Linked DNA regions of Xenopus tropicalis. The protein of the gene in region 2 purifies or fractionates together with the protein of the main gene of each other region. This does not show direct contact. Links are inferred from orthologs where the notes say so. Each region holds a gene or a part of one and is shown on either strand. Other genes may lie near its edges. The genes, in order: dhx9, ewsr1 and ddx17.

Region 1 (3,654 bases), on a different chromosome or scaffold from region 2:
TATATGAATGGCATCAGCCTGTCATTGTGTACATGAACATTTTCTGCAAAAATCAGCTCCCATTTGCACAGTGACAGGCTGATGCTATTCATATCACTAGCCACACAGTGGAAATAGTGTATTGGCATTTTCTTTGCCAGCAAGAAACAGCATTGTGTGCCAGAGATGGAATATATGATGTTTTAGGCTGGAACTCTTCTTTATCTGTGCTTTTTCGGTGACTCCCTAACAAGGTGAATAAATGTGTTACGTTTAGGTCTGTACATGCTTTCCTAACACTCTAATAAATGTTTTGGCAGGAGCTTTATTGCAGAAATGACCCTGTATGTTAAGCAGCTTGGAAGAAGTAAGTTCCCCAACTAAATATGCCATATGTATAGAAGGCATCTACCTTTGTACTCTCTAAACCTTTTGTTTAATATTCAGGAATCACGGCAAGAGAACATGGATCTAATAAGAAATTGGCGGCACAATCTTGTGCCCTTTCAATTGTCCGTCAGCTGTATCATCTAAGTGTAATTGAACCATACTCAGGACTGACAAAGAAAAAGGAAGGGGAGGCTGTAAGTTCCTTGTAGATAACCATCTGCATTGTAAATATTGTTTTTTGTTATCTTTGGATTATAATTGTCTCAAATGCAAAGTTTGTGGGTAATCTTAATTGTGATTCATATAATTAACTTAATTTCATTAGGAATACCCCAAAAACATTCTGAAACAAACAGATGCTGCTGCTTCTAAAAATGCTGTTATTACTAAGATGATACTAATGTTTCTGTCTGGCAGGTGGAACCTTATCAAGTGAACTTAAATCCTGATGTGGTGAAACAGCTGCAGAGTACTATTCAGGAGCTAGGAATTGAGTTACCATATCCAGTAAGTGTTTTGTAGTGTGCGTTTTTTTTCCCCTTTCCCTTTTTTGCTTGTTTTAATATAATTGCTGTGTTTTTCCATAATAGCCCCAGGATCCTAGCCAACCTGTGTCCCTTAATTTGGGAAAACTGGTACACTTTGAGCCTTCACAGAAGCAGAGTCACTCTGGTGTGGTGCCATGGTCTCCCCCACAGGAAAACTGGAACCCATGGACAAGCAGCAACATTGATGAAGGACCTCTGGCATTTGTAAGTTTTGTAGTTTCAGAAAAATAAAATGGTTGAATTTGCCTTCTTTTGGGTTAAATTTTTAAAGTTACATTGGCATCTACTTTCTTTAAAGGCTCCCCAGGAGCAGATCAGTGCAGAATTAAAGAATGAACACATGTATCACATGCAAGATCCTAACATGAAACAGGTTGGTTGATTCAGTTTCTAGACTATGCAAAAGTTTTTATAATTGTGGCTTTTGCTAAGCCTAGCACCACTATTTTTTCTGAATGTTTACAGTGCTCAAGACTGAACTGTAAAAACATTTGTAATCTATAATGTATTCAATGGTGTTTTAATATGTATTCTTTCAGTGAGTTCTTGCCTTTCACTTTTTAGGTCTTGATTGATCGAGAGTCTCTTCCTGTTAAGAAATTTGAGGAGGAAATAATGCATGCTGTGCATAACAGCCCTGTTGTAATCATCCGTGGAGCAACAGGCTGTGGTAAAACTACACAGGTCCCACAATACATTCTGGATGAATGTATTCGCAATGATCGTGCAGCGCAGTGTAATATTGTGGTTACACAGGTATAGTTCTGGAAATCAATTCTATGTTACTTAAACATAAAATAACATAAATGATGCAGTGGGTAGTGAGGTCTTTTTTCCTTTTCTATAGCCTAGAAGGATCAGTGCAGTATCTGTTGCAGAACGTGTTGCTTTTGAAAGAGGGGAAGAGATTGGAAAAAGCTGTGGCTACAGTGTGCGTTTTGAATCTGTTCTTCCCCGTCCGCATGCCAGTATGCTTTTCTGCACTGTGGGTACGTATTGCTTAATAATGATGGTTTTCCTTGTACAGTTAATTTATTTTTCTCTTGACAATATTATTAATATTTTCAGGAGTCCTTTTGAGGAAACTGGAGGCTGGGATAAGAGGAATTAGCCATGTGATTGTGGATGAAATTCATGAGCGTGACATTAATGTAAGTTACTCATTAAAAATAATTGAAAGGTTGCTTGGCTATGTTGATCTAACTATAACATTTTAGTTAAAGACTAAATTTTCCCCTTCCCACTTAGGACCCTCAGGCTGAGTAGCCATCTCATGCCTATGTTAATTATTTATCTCTACCACTGTTCAACAATATCCTAAGAAATATTAGTATAGTGTATTAGAAAAAAAAATATCCAAGAAATATGCTACTTTGTTTGCTGCAGGTTTTTTAAGAAATGTTCTGTCTACATTTATTGTAAAAGATTTTCAGTTTTAAGGCCAGCTGTCCCTTTAATATCTATTGGCAGAAGTTAACTCTTATAGTAGAGTATTTATAGAGGCCTTACTCCGTACTGATGCTACTGCATAAGGAATATAGTGTAAAGAATTCACATCAATATTTATATACTTTTGTATATGTTTTATTACTACAAGTCTAAAGGACATGTGAACCCCAAAAATAATTTTTTGCCTAATAAGAGAAAACATAATTCTAAGAAACTTTCCAATATCAATTAATTAAAAAATATTAGTGCTTTAAAAGTTATTTGTAAATATAATTGCTATAGAAAGCAGCATTTGCTGAACTCCTGGTTGTTACTTTTGAAACATTATTACAAGTGCCAGGCTCCTCCAGCAAGGCAGGTCTGTAAAATCTGCTTGCGTTTGTTACATTGTTTCAGTCGCCAGAGCACCCAAGGCACAGAATGGAATTAATAGCAGTTATGTTTCCCCTGACACTTTAGTAACAGTTATCTATACAAATAACTAAAAAAAAAACCATTACAGATATGTAATAAATATATATTGCAAAGTTGCTTAGAATTAAGTTTTCTTTTATTAGGCAATTTTTTTTTTTTCGGGTTGACAAGTCCTTAAAGCTTTATGTTACATTAAACCTTCCCCAAAAGCACCTTTATAAAAAAAAAACTGATTATTTGGCTGTCAGGTTAATGGCACACTGTGCACTTTCTCTGCCCGTGACGCAAACACTGATGCTGCCCCACCCCACCTCTGCGCAGCAACAGGCATGGTTTCACCTTGTATCATTACTTTTAGCGCAGTCTATGTCTAGCATGGATAGACTTTTTTTAATGTACACCTCAAGCATTTGAAATGGTACTTGAATTACTTGGTCACAGATAGACAAAACATGGTATTAGCCTGCAAAAAACTAAAAACCTGCTGTGAACTTCACAATAAAGGTGTTTACAGGCTAATATAGCTTTATGTCAAAAGTTCTTTATCTTTTTTTTTTTTTTAGATCAGCTCCAATGATAGGTAGATTTGTTGCAGGGTATCTAGTTGTTATGCACCCATCCCAGTGGTTCTAGTCACTTACCTTCTGGTGGTCTACTTTGCCATAAAATGCGCTTGCCTGGGATATTAGGGAGGGAGCACAATCTCTTTTGGCTACATTCAGCTGAATGCATGTGTGGTAGAGTAAAATCAAAATGTATAAGTTAACCTTTACTATGCATGCACACATGCCTGGTATCAGAGAAGGAATTGCAAGGAAGGCAGCCATGGCAGTGACAATGGGAAGGTAGCAAGATTGCAGCTCCCTGACACCTG
Region 2 (3,654 bases):
TGTTCGCCGGTGGGATGGCAGGGGGAAGGCAACTCGGGGAGATTAGTCGCCCGCGAACAGGGAGTTTTGCCGCGGGCGACTAATCTCCCCGTGTACCAGAGCCCTGAATGTGCACTGATCCATATAACAAAGGGGGTTATGTAATAAAAGGCACTAAGTTTACCCAGGAGCAGTAACCAATAGCAACCAATCAGCAGGTAGAATTTACTGGTTGCTTGTTTGAAAACACATCTTATTGGTTGCTATAGGTTACTGCTACTGGACAAACTTAGGGGCTGATTTACTTACCCACGAACGGGTCGAATGGAGTCCGATTGCGTTTTTTTCGTAATGATCGGTATTTTGCGATTTTTTCGTATGTTTTGCGATTTTTTTGGATTCTTTACGAATTTTTCGTTACCAATACGATTTTTGCGTAAAAACGCGAGTTTTCCTATCCATTATGAAAGTTGCGTAAAAAGTTCATCATTTTTCGTAGCGTTAAAACTTACGCGAAAAATGTGCAACTTTTCGCGTAAGTTTTAACGATACGAAAAATGATGAACTTTTTACGCAACTTTCGTAATGGATACGAAAAACTCGCGTTTTTACGCAAAAATCGTATTGGTAACGAAAAATTCGTACAGAATCCGAAAAAATCGCAAAACGTACGAAAAATTCGCAAAATGTTCATTTTCAAGTCGGAACTTTTCCAATTCGGGTCGGATTCGTGGGTTAGTAAATCAGCCCCTTAGTGTCTTTTATTACATATGGGGGAAAAAAATGTCGCCTGCATCTATTTACCTTCACATAATGTTTACTGGGGTAGTCCACCTTTAACCTTTAGTCTGTTAATAGCATGGTCTTTTTTTATTTATAGTTTTTGAATTGCTTTCCTCTTGACTCTTTCCAGCTTTCAAATGTACCGACTACAATAGTAAAAAAAAAAAAAAAAATTCAGCCTCTCATTCAAACCACTGCTAGGGTTGCTAGGGTAATTTGGGCCCTCATAACTAGGTAGATGTTGAAAATTTACACTGAAGAATGCTGAGCAAAAAGCTAAATTCAAAAAAATTACCACCAATAGCAAATTCTCAGAAAAGCATTCTCTACAAATTACATAATGTTAAAGGTGAACAACCCCTTAACCTGTGAACCACCAATATAACCGAAGTCTCTTTACATTTTTTTTTTTGTATGTTTTATATACCGTTAGCTTATGTATGCAGCACTGTACAGCAGAACAATAAATTAATAGAACGAGTCATTACAATAATAGATACAAACCACTACAAAGTACAGTTTCATTAAATATTACTCAGTGAAGAGTCCAAGAGAATGGATGTCCCTGCCCTGTAGAGCTTACAATCTAAGTGGGTGGGTAACTTGTAGACCCAAATAGAGGGATATAAAGTGCTGCAGGTTTTAAAGTGAGCGTTAAATATGCTTCACTAGAATGTTTTTACAGGGTTGTTAACCACAACATAACATAAATGCATTGTTATTGATTATTGGGAATGTATAAGGCTGTGTAAGTTGCTTTTTTAACTTAGCTTTATTTTTTCTGTTATAGATTACAGCACCTATAGCCAAACTGGAGCCCAACAAAGGTAATTTGGTTTAGCTATTTGTATATATTATGAACCATGCATTCAGAAGCATTTCTGTGCATTGTTGGCTGAAATCAGGTTGAACAAGGGGCCATTCTGCCACTTGCAACACTACTCTTTATACCACCAACAGTTTATGCTGAACATACTTTTTGTTTTTTTTGTCAAATCTATATTTATTTCATTAGCTAAACAGAGCAATTAAAGCTACTTCGTGGTTGGTCCTTGCAAGATACATCACCAGTATACAACCTCCTCCCTTCCCCCTTTGATGTGACAGTTTTGTTAGCAGAAGTCCAGTGTGTAAGGGGGATTATCTGAGATCTGGTAATCTAATTACCTTGCAAGGCCCAAACATGAAGTTGGCTTTCCTATCTAGCTCAAGAAATATCAAACTGTAGATTTACATTTTGTTATTCTGTGGGATGTTTAGAGTAATTTTAAAGACAGAAAAGAAACGGTTTACTTCTTCTTTGAAGTGCTATTGCAGTGAAATGTCAAAAATAGAATGTAACATGGTAGATCCTTTTCAGTTGATCTCACGTTATAAGGCATGCAATTTTCCTTTATACCAAAAACATGCGCTGGCACTGGTCACAAATGTTATGAGCTGTTAAGCCTAGGTAGGAATAGGAGTGTATTTGTACCTGGCTTGTATAACTTTATTCAGTGCGTTTTTTTTTTTTTTCTTAATGCAGTTACAGTGCATATACTGCACAACCAACTCAAGGCTACGCACAGACTGCACAGGTAATCATGTTATAAAGCATTTTAGTTCATTGTAAGAATGTGCTCTGAATGTACTTGATAAGCTCCATTGCCAACTTTAAAAGCTAATTTTTTTTGTTGAAAAAAAACAAACTTAACAATTCATTTTTGCAGGCAACTTATGGGCAGCAGAGTTATGGCACCTATGCACAGCCCACTGATGCCAGTTACACACAAGCACAGACAACAGCCAGCTATGGCCAGTCTGCCTATGCCACTTCTTATGGACAGCCACCAACAGGTACCGTTAAAGGGCTTGATGTAGCTCTTGCTGAAAATGTTTTATTGTTGAAAGTTGCCATGTTGTACAATCAGTTGATAAAAGCAGGGGCTGCAATTATTGGTGGTTAAATAAATAATTTTTTATTGCAGTGTTAAAGGAACAGTAACATCAAAAAATTACAGTGTTTTAAAGTAATTAAAATATAATGTGCTCTTACTCTGCAAAAAACTGGTGTTTTTGCTACAGAAAAGCTACTATATAAACTAGCTGCTGTGTAGCCATGGGGGCAGCCATTCAAGCTGGAGAAAAGGCACAGGTTACATTGCAGATAACAAATAAACTCTGTAGAATACAATGGCATTTTATCTGTTATCTGCTAAGTAACCTGTGCCTTTTCTCCTTTGAATGACTGCCCCATGGCTACACAGCAGCTTACTTATATAAACCTATAGTAGTCTTTCTGAGGCAAACACACCAGTTGTAGCAATGCAGGATAACAGTACATTATATTGTAATTACTTTTATACACTTTAATTGTTTGGTGTTAGTTCCTTTAAATGCTGCCTTCCTATGTAAGGAGGAGGGTTGGGTATGTAGGGTGTTACTGGTGTAGGGTCTGTTTTAGTCATGCACATCCACTATTTTAGGATCTGGCTGAACCCTGAATCCTTTGCGAAAGACTAGATCGAATACCAATCCAAATCCTATTTTGCATATGCAAATTAGCATAAGGGTTAAAGACAACCACGCAGGAAAAATTAACATTTACGTGTTTATGACAAAAAAAATCATGTGATTTTTAAGGATTCGGGCGAATCCTGCTGAAAAAGACCTAACCCTGGAATCAATGCATCCCTAATCTGTTTTTAAATGATGCTTAGGATAAGGCTCCGCAAAGTGGATTGTCAGCCTGCGTATAAGCGCAAGATGCCAATCCGCCCGTACGCATGAGAAACCTGAATGTGTCTGCACCCGGAAGCATTGCAGGCGCACGTAGCATATATCTGCCAACTAACGCAAGTCTTGGAGTTTACTGGTGAATTCAGTGCTTCTGGGTGCTGGCACAATTAGAAG
Region 3 (3,873 bases), on a different chromosome or scaffold from region 2:
TGGACACTGGTGAGAATAGAGTTGACAGATAGCCAGAACATTTGAATGTTATGCTTTAAATATTACAGCGAGATCAATAAAAGCACCACTCTAATAAAACAATGGTACACATGGTGACTTTTTTTTTAAAAAAAAATTTATTATCTACAAAATGGTGTCAGATGGTTCTCATGACAATTTAGAGAAATGAATTTTAAAAATGTAATAACCACTCCAGCAAACTAGAATGGTAACATTATTTAAAGGTATGGGGCATTATCTGTAACTGAAAAACAAAATTACACCTGAGAGAAATGCAACTATAACACAAAACACAGAAGCTGAAATAACAGTGAGATGAGAGGTACAGACAACCTGCCATGAAAAATAAATCTAACTAATGTGAACTTATTAATGCTTGTTAAAAGAACCTACCTTTGTCTTTGTCACACATGGCAACAAAAATGCCAAAATAGTGTCTATATAGTGGGAGGGTCAATGTATTTAGGAGAGGCATAACACTGTAGATGTCCCCCACCCCCAGAAGAAAGGAGGATTATACACCAATCAAGGGAATTATAAATACAGAGAAAAAAGTCTTGGTGACAGGGAAATAAGGGAGGAATGATGCTTGACAGTCTGGAATTTTACCTACCTGGAATAACTCAGGAGTAATAAAAAAAAGGAAAAAAGCAGCCACAGTAGCTTTCAAAACTTTCTGGCAAAAAAAAAAAAAAAAAACAAAACAGGTAAAAAAAAACAAAAAAAAAAAACCGAAAAGCCCTGCAAATACATCAAGTCATCTTAAGGCTACTGCCAGAACAAAGCACATAGAATCCTGAACACTAACTTTAAAGAACAGCTTCAAAGATTGGAAAAGTCTAATTCCCAAACATTGCTGTGATCAAGATAAAGGAAAAACAAAATGCAACAAAACATAAAGCTTACTGAGGGAAATTGTGTATTACATCAACTGGTAACACAGGCTAAAAGATAAAAAGGCTGAAGAACTCATTTACGTGTAGGTGGAGGTGGTGGTGGAGGAGGAGGGGGATACTGATAACTGGCTGCCTGGTTCATATAGTTCAATAGGCCAGAGGAGCTAGGTGGGGCAAACTGCTGTGACATCAGTGGCTGCGGTGCCTGGGCATATGCTGCTGTGCCATAATTGTTAGCTACTCCTGTGAAGCCACCCTGTCCGTAGCTGTATTGGTTGGGTTGGAAATTGGAAACCTGGCCACCGTAGCTGTAATTTGGCCGGTTCTGATCTCGCCCGGTTGGATTGTTAGAAATAGCACCATCGCGGTTATTGTTCCTCCCATCACGTCTTCCTCCATCTTTACCATGCATTCTTCTGTTACACTCTTCCTGGTACATCATATTTGGATTGTTATTTGTGGGAATGCTGCGATATCTGGATCGGCCACCTAGAGAGATTTAGAGCAGTTTTTAACATATGGTTTAAACACAGGAAAACAGTAAAGAAATACATTTGTTTACACATTACAGAAAGAAGAGACCTAAAGAGGAATAGTTTAAGAACTTTCTTCAGCTTCCAATGCACCTGCCAACATTGTTTATCAGCAAAAGTGGGATGCTACACAATCTGATCCCTCCTGCTGTAATGTAAGTCAAATCAGAAGTAAGATGGTGCGTTTTGTTAACGCATCTACATTGACGAAGAAAACCAACAAAGTCTTTTAGACACTATCAGATTTTACCTTGTCGGACACAACTTGCAGTGGAGTGCCCTGCCGGATGACAAATCTGCCATATACATTACACATCAGATTTTGTTATCAGTCCCATTATATTTTGACCTATGCAAGGATGTAATCAGCCAACCTGCCACCATTCTACATCTCCTGTGTAGCTTAGCTCTAAATCTTCAGGACAGATTTCATCTGCCATCCATCAGGATCACAGGATTGTCAAAAGCTCATCCCTCAACTGACATACACATCTAGATGGTCAGTCAGTAAAGTTGAAATAGGCCAAACTGCTTTAAGCAGGCCACACATGCCCAGAATTGTTGGGTAGTCTCCTTTGTATTGATATATTGCTTTATGCATGTCCCAGCACACACTTGTTATCTAAATATAATTTAAGATTTTAATTGTGAGCTGCGTTTGTCCTAAGGCAGAGGTGAAAGCTGTATACTGCTCTTTATACCAGCCACCCCTCCCTTACACTCTGCTACTCAGGGTGGAAGAGTACATTTAAATTAATAAGTAGTTAAGATTTTTAACACTTGTTACTTAAAGACAACTTCAAATCCAACCATCACATTTAGTTATATACTGTACACAAACCTCAGGGCAATGACCTACCTCCACCACCGCCACGGCCATGGTCCACCAGCTGCATTAGTTTAGGGTTGATTGTTTGATTTGCTTCTTCTAGAACTTTTACCAGTTCTCTGGCTTGTTTGAGGTTACCAGGTGTGAAGAAGGTGTAAGCTGTGCCTTTGTTAGTACTACGGGCAGTACGGCCAATGCGATGTACGTAGTCTTCAGAGCTGTTTGGGTAGTCATAATTAATGACGAACTTGATATCCTCCACATCTAAAAATTGAGTGGGAAATTGACGTGTAGGAAATACACACGCCAGAAGAGTGACAAAGATTAAAGTTAGTAAATGTAGAAAAATCTTGCCTCAAACTATTTCTGATTTCTACTACACTTCAGTGACTAAAGCTTAGAGTGTCTAGGCAAACTGTGATTCCCTGTAATTTCTGTTCCAAAAGCTAAAGCTGCCTTTATCTTGGTTCTTATCTGAAGTCTTAAATTAGAAATCAGAATATTGACCATTTCAGATGGATTAGGGCTTCATATGCAAAGATGCATAATACTATTTACCAGTCACAATTATGTTAGAAAACATTGAAGATAAATTCACTGACAATATAGTTCAGAGAGCTATTCCATAAACTGTAACTAATATAATGCCCAAACTGAACACATCAGATATGAGATGACTGACACTGAACCAGTTAAAATCCTAAAGCTAAAAGAGAAAACCATTAAAGCACTAAAAACCATAAATAATTTAAATTAAACTTAGTGGGATTCTTCCTCAGAAGAGCTGGTGTCCGGACCGATGCACACTCCCTCAGTGAGGTAGGGAAACAGCAGTCGCCAATCCCGTCTTTTTGGCTCATGGCGGTGTCGCCGCCCTTCATCCTTGGATAAGGGGCCACTGGAGCAGGGAGCATGCATCAACGGTCCAGGCGCAGCAAGAGGTCCCAACAGGTGCACTGGTTGAGCGAGATACTTCTGTGGGGGAGCCCTTCTCCCAAGTCCAAGTTTGTGAACCTGTCAATGGGCGAAGAGAGACCCCATCCTCCAACACTCACCATCTGCCATCAATAAAGTTATTAAAATCTTTGAAAGGTGGATGTGGACAAAGCTGCTAATTATCAGATTTTACCAAAAGGGAAGTTTGGATAAATGTCTGTTTCTTATTACAGAAAGGTCACTCACAAGAACTGCAGGTTTGGCTAATTTACAGCATAATATTAATTTAAAAAAAGGAAAAAATGGGAGAACAAAGTTCCACTATTTAGGAGGGAAGAATAACTTTGAAACCAATAGGATGAACAAATTAAATTTTTGCTCTGTCCATTAGTTTAGTGTGTTAAAAGGAAATGACAGGTTTCTAGGGCGCTCACTTTCTTATGTTCTCCATGACAGAATGGGAAGTCACGCACACTGCCACATCCTGCATGTGCAGGCAGGGAGAAAGGAGGAACTAAACAGTTTAGGAAGTAGCCACAAAAGGTCTGAAGAAGGGCAGAAGGGCTATTCTTCTGCTTTGACAGCCAAAAGACTTCCCAACAGTTGCCCAGCAGATGGCATAGTGGGAAGCATCTGTGTGATCTCCCTTCTAGAAAGG

The links.
Region 1: the proteins of ewsr1 (region 2) and dhx9 purify together in Homo sapiens (affinity purification with mass spectrometry; 3 studies listed by BioGRID, with this or other methods). This does not show direct contact. The link is inferred for Xenopus tropicalis from reciprocal best matches to the Homo sapiens genes EWSR1 and DHX9.
Region 3: the proteins of ewsr1 (region 2) and ddx17 purify together in Homo sapiens (affinity purification with mass spectrometry; 3 studies listed by BioGRID, with this or other methods). This does not show direct contact. The link is inferred for Xenopus tropicalis from reciprocal best matches to the Homo sapiens genes EWSR1 and DDX17.

What each region holds. Positions count from the first base shown.
Region 1 is NC_030680.2:100,157,625-100,161,278, reverse strand, and holds part of dhx9 (ATP-dependent RNA helicase A), read left to right. Parts: intron 1-299; coding exon 300-346; intron 347-426; coding exon 427-563; intron 564-786; coding exon 787-876; intron 877-959; coding exon 960-1,121; intron 1,122-1,215; coding exon 1,216-1,290; intron 1,291-1,481; coding exon 1,482-1,673; intron 1,674-1,764; coding exon 1,765-1,906; intron 1,907-1,985; coding exon 1,986-2,068; intron 2,069-3,654. UniProt on the Homo sapiens protein: Multifunctional ATP-dependent nucleic acid helicase that unwinds DNA and RNA in a 3' to 5' direction and that plays important roles in many processes, such as DNA replication, transcriptional activation, post-transcriptional RNA regulation, mRNA translation and RNA-mediated gene silencing.
Region 2 is NC_030677.2:144,953,144-144,956,797, reverse strand, and holds part of ewsr1 (RNA-binding protein EWS), read left to right. Parts: intron 1-1,552; coding exon 1,553-1,589; intron 1,590-2,287; coding exon 2,288-2,339; intron 2,340-2,471; coding exon 2,472-2,598; intron 2,599-3,654. UniProt on the Homo sapiens protein: Binds to ssRNA containing the consensus sequence 5'-AGGUAA-3'. Might normally function as a transcriptional repressor. EWS-fusion-proteins (EFPS) may play a role in the tumorigenic process.
Region 3 is NC_030680.2:120,521,885-120,525,757, reverse strand, and holds the end of ddx17 (probable ATP-dependent RNA helicase DDX17), read right to left. Parts: intron 2,544-3,873; coding exon 2,310-2,543; intron 1,407-2,309; coding exon 991-1,406; 3' UTR 583-990; downstream 1-582. UniProt on the Homo sapiens protein: As an RNA helicase, unwinds RNA and alters RNA structures through ATP binding and hydrolysis.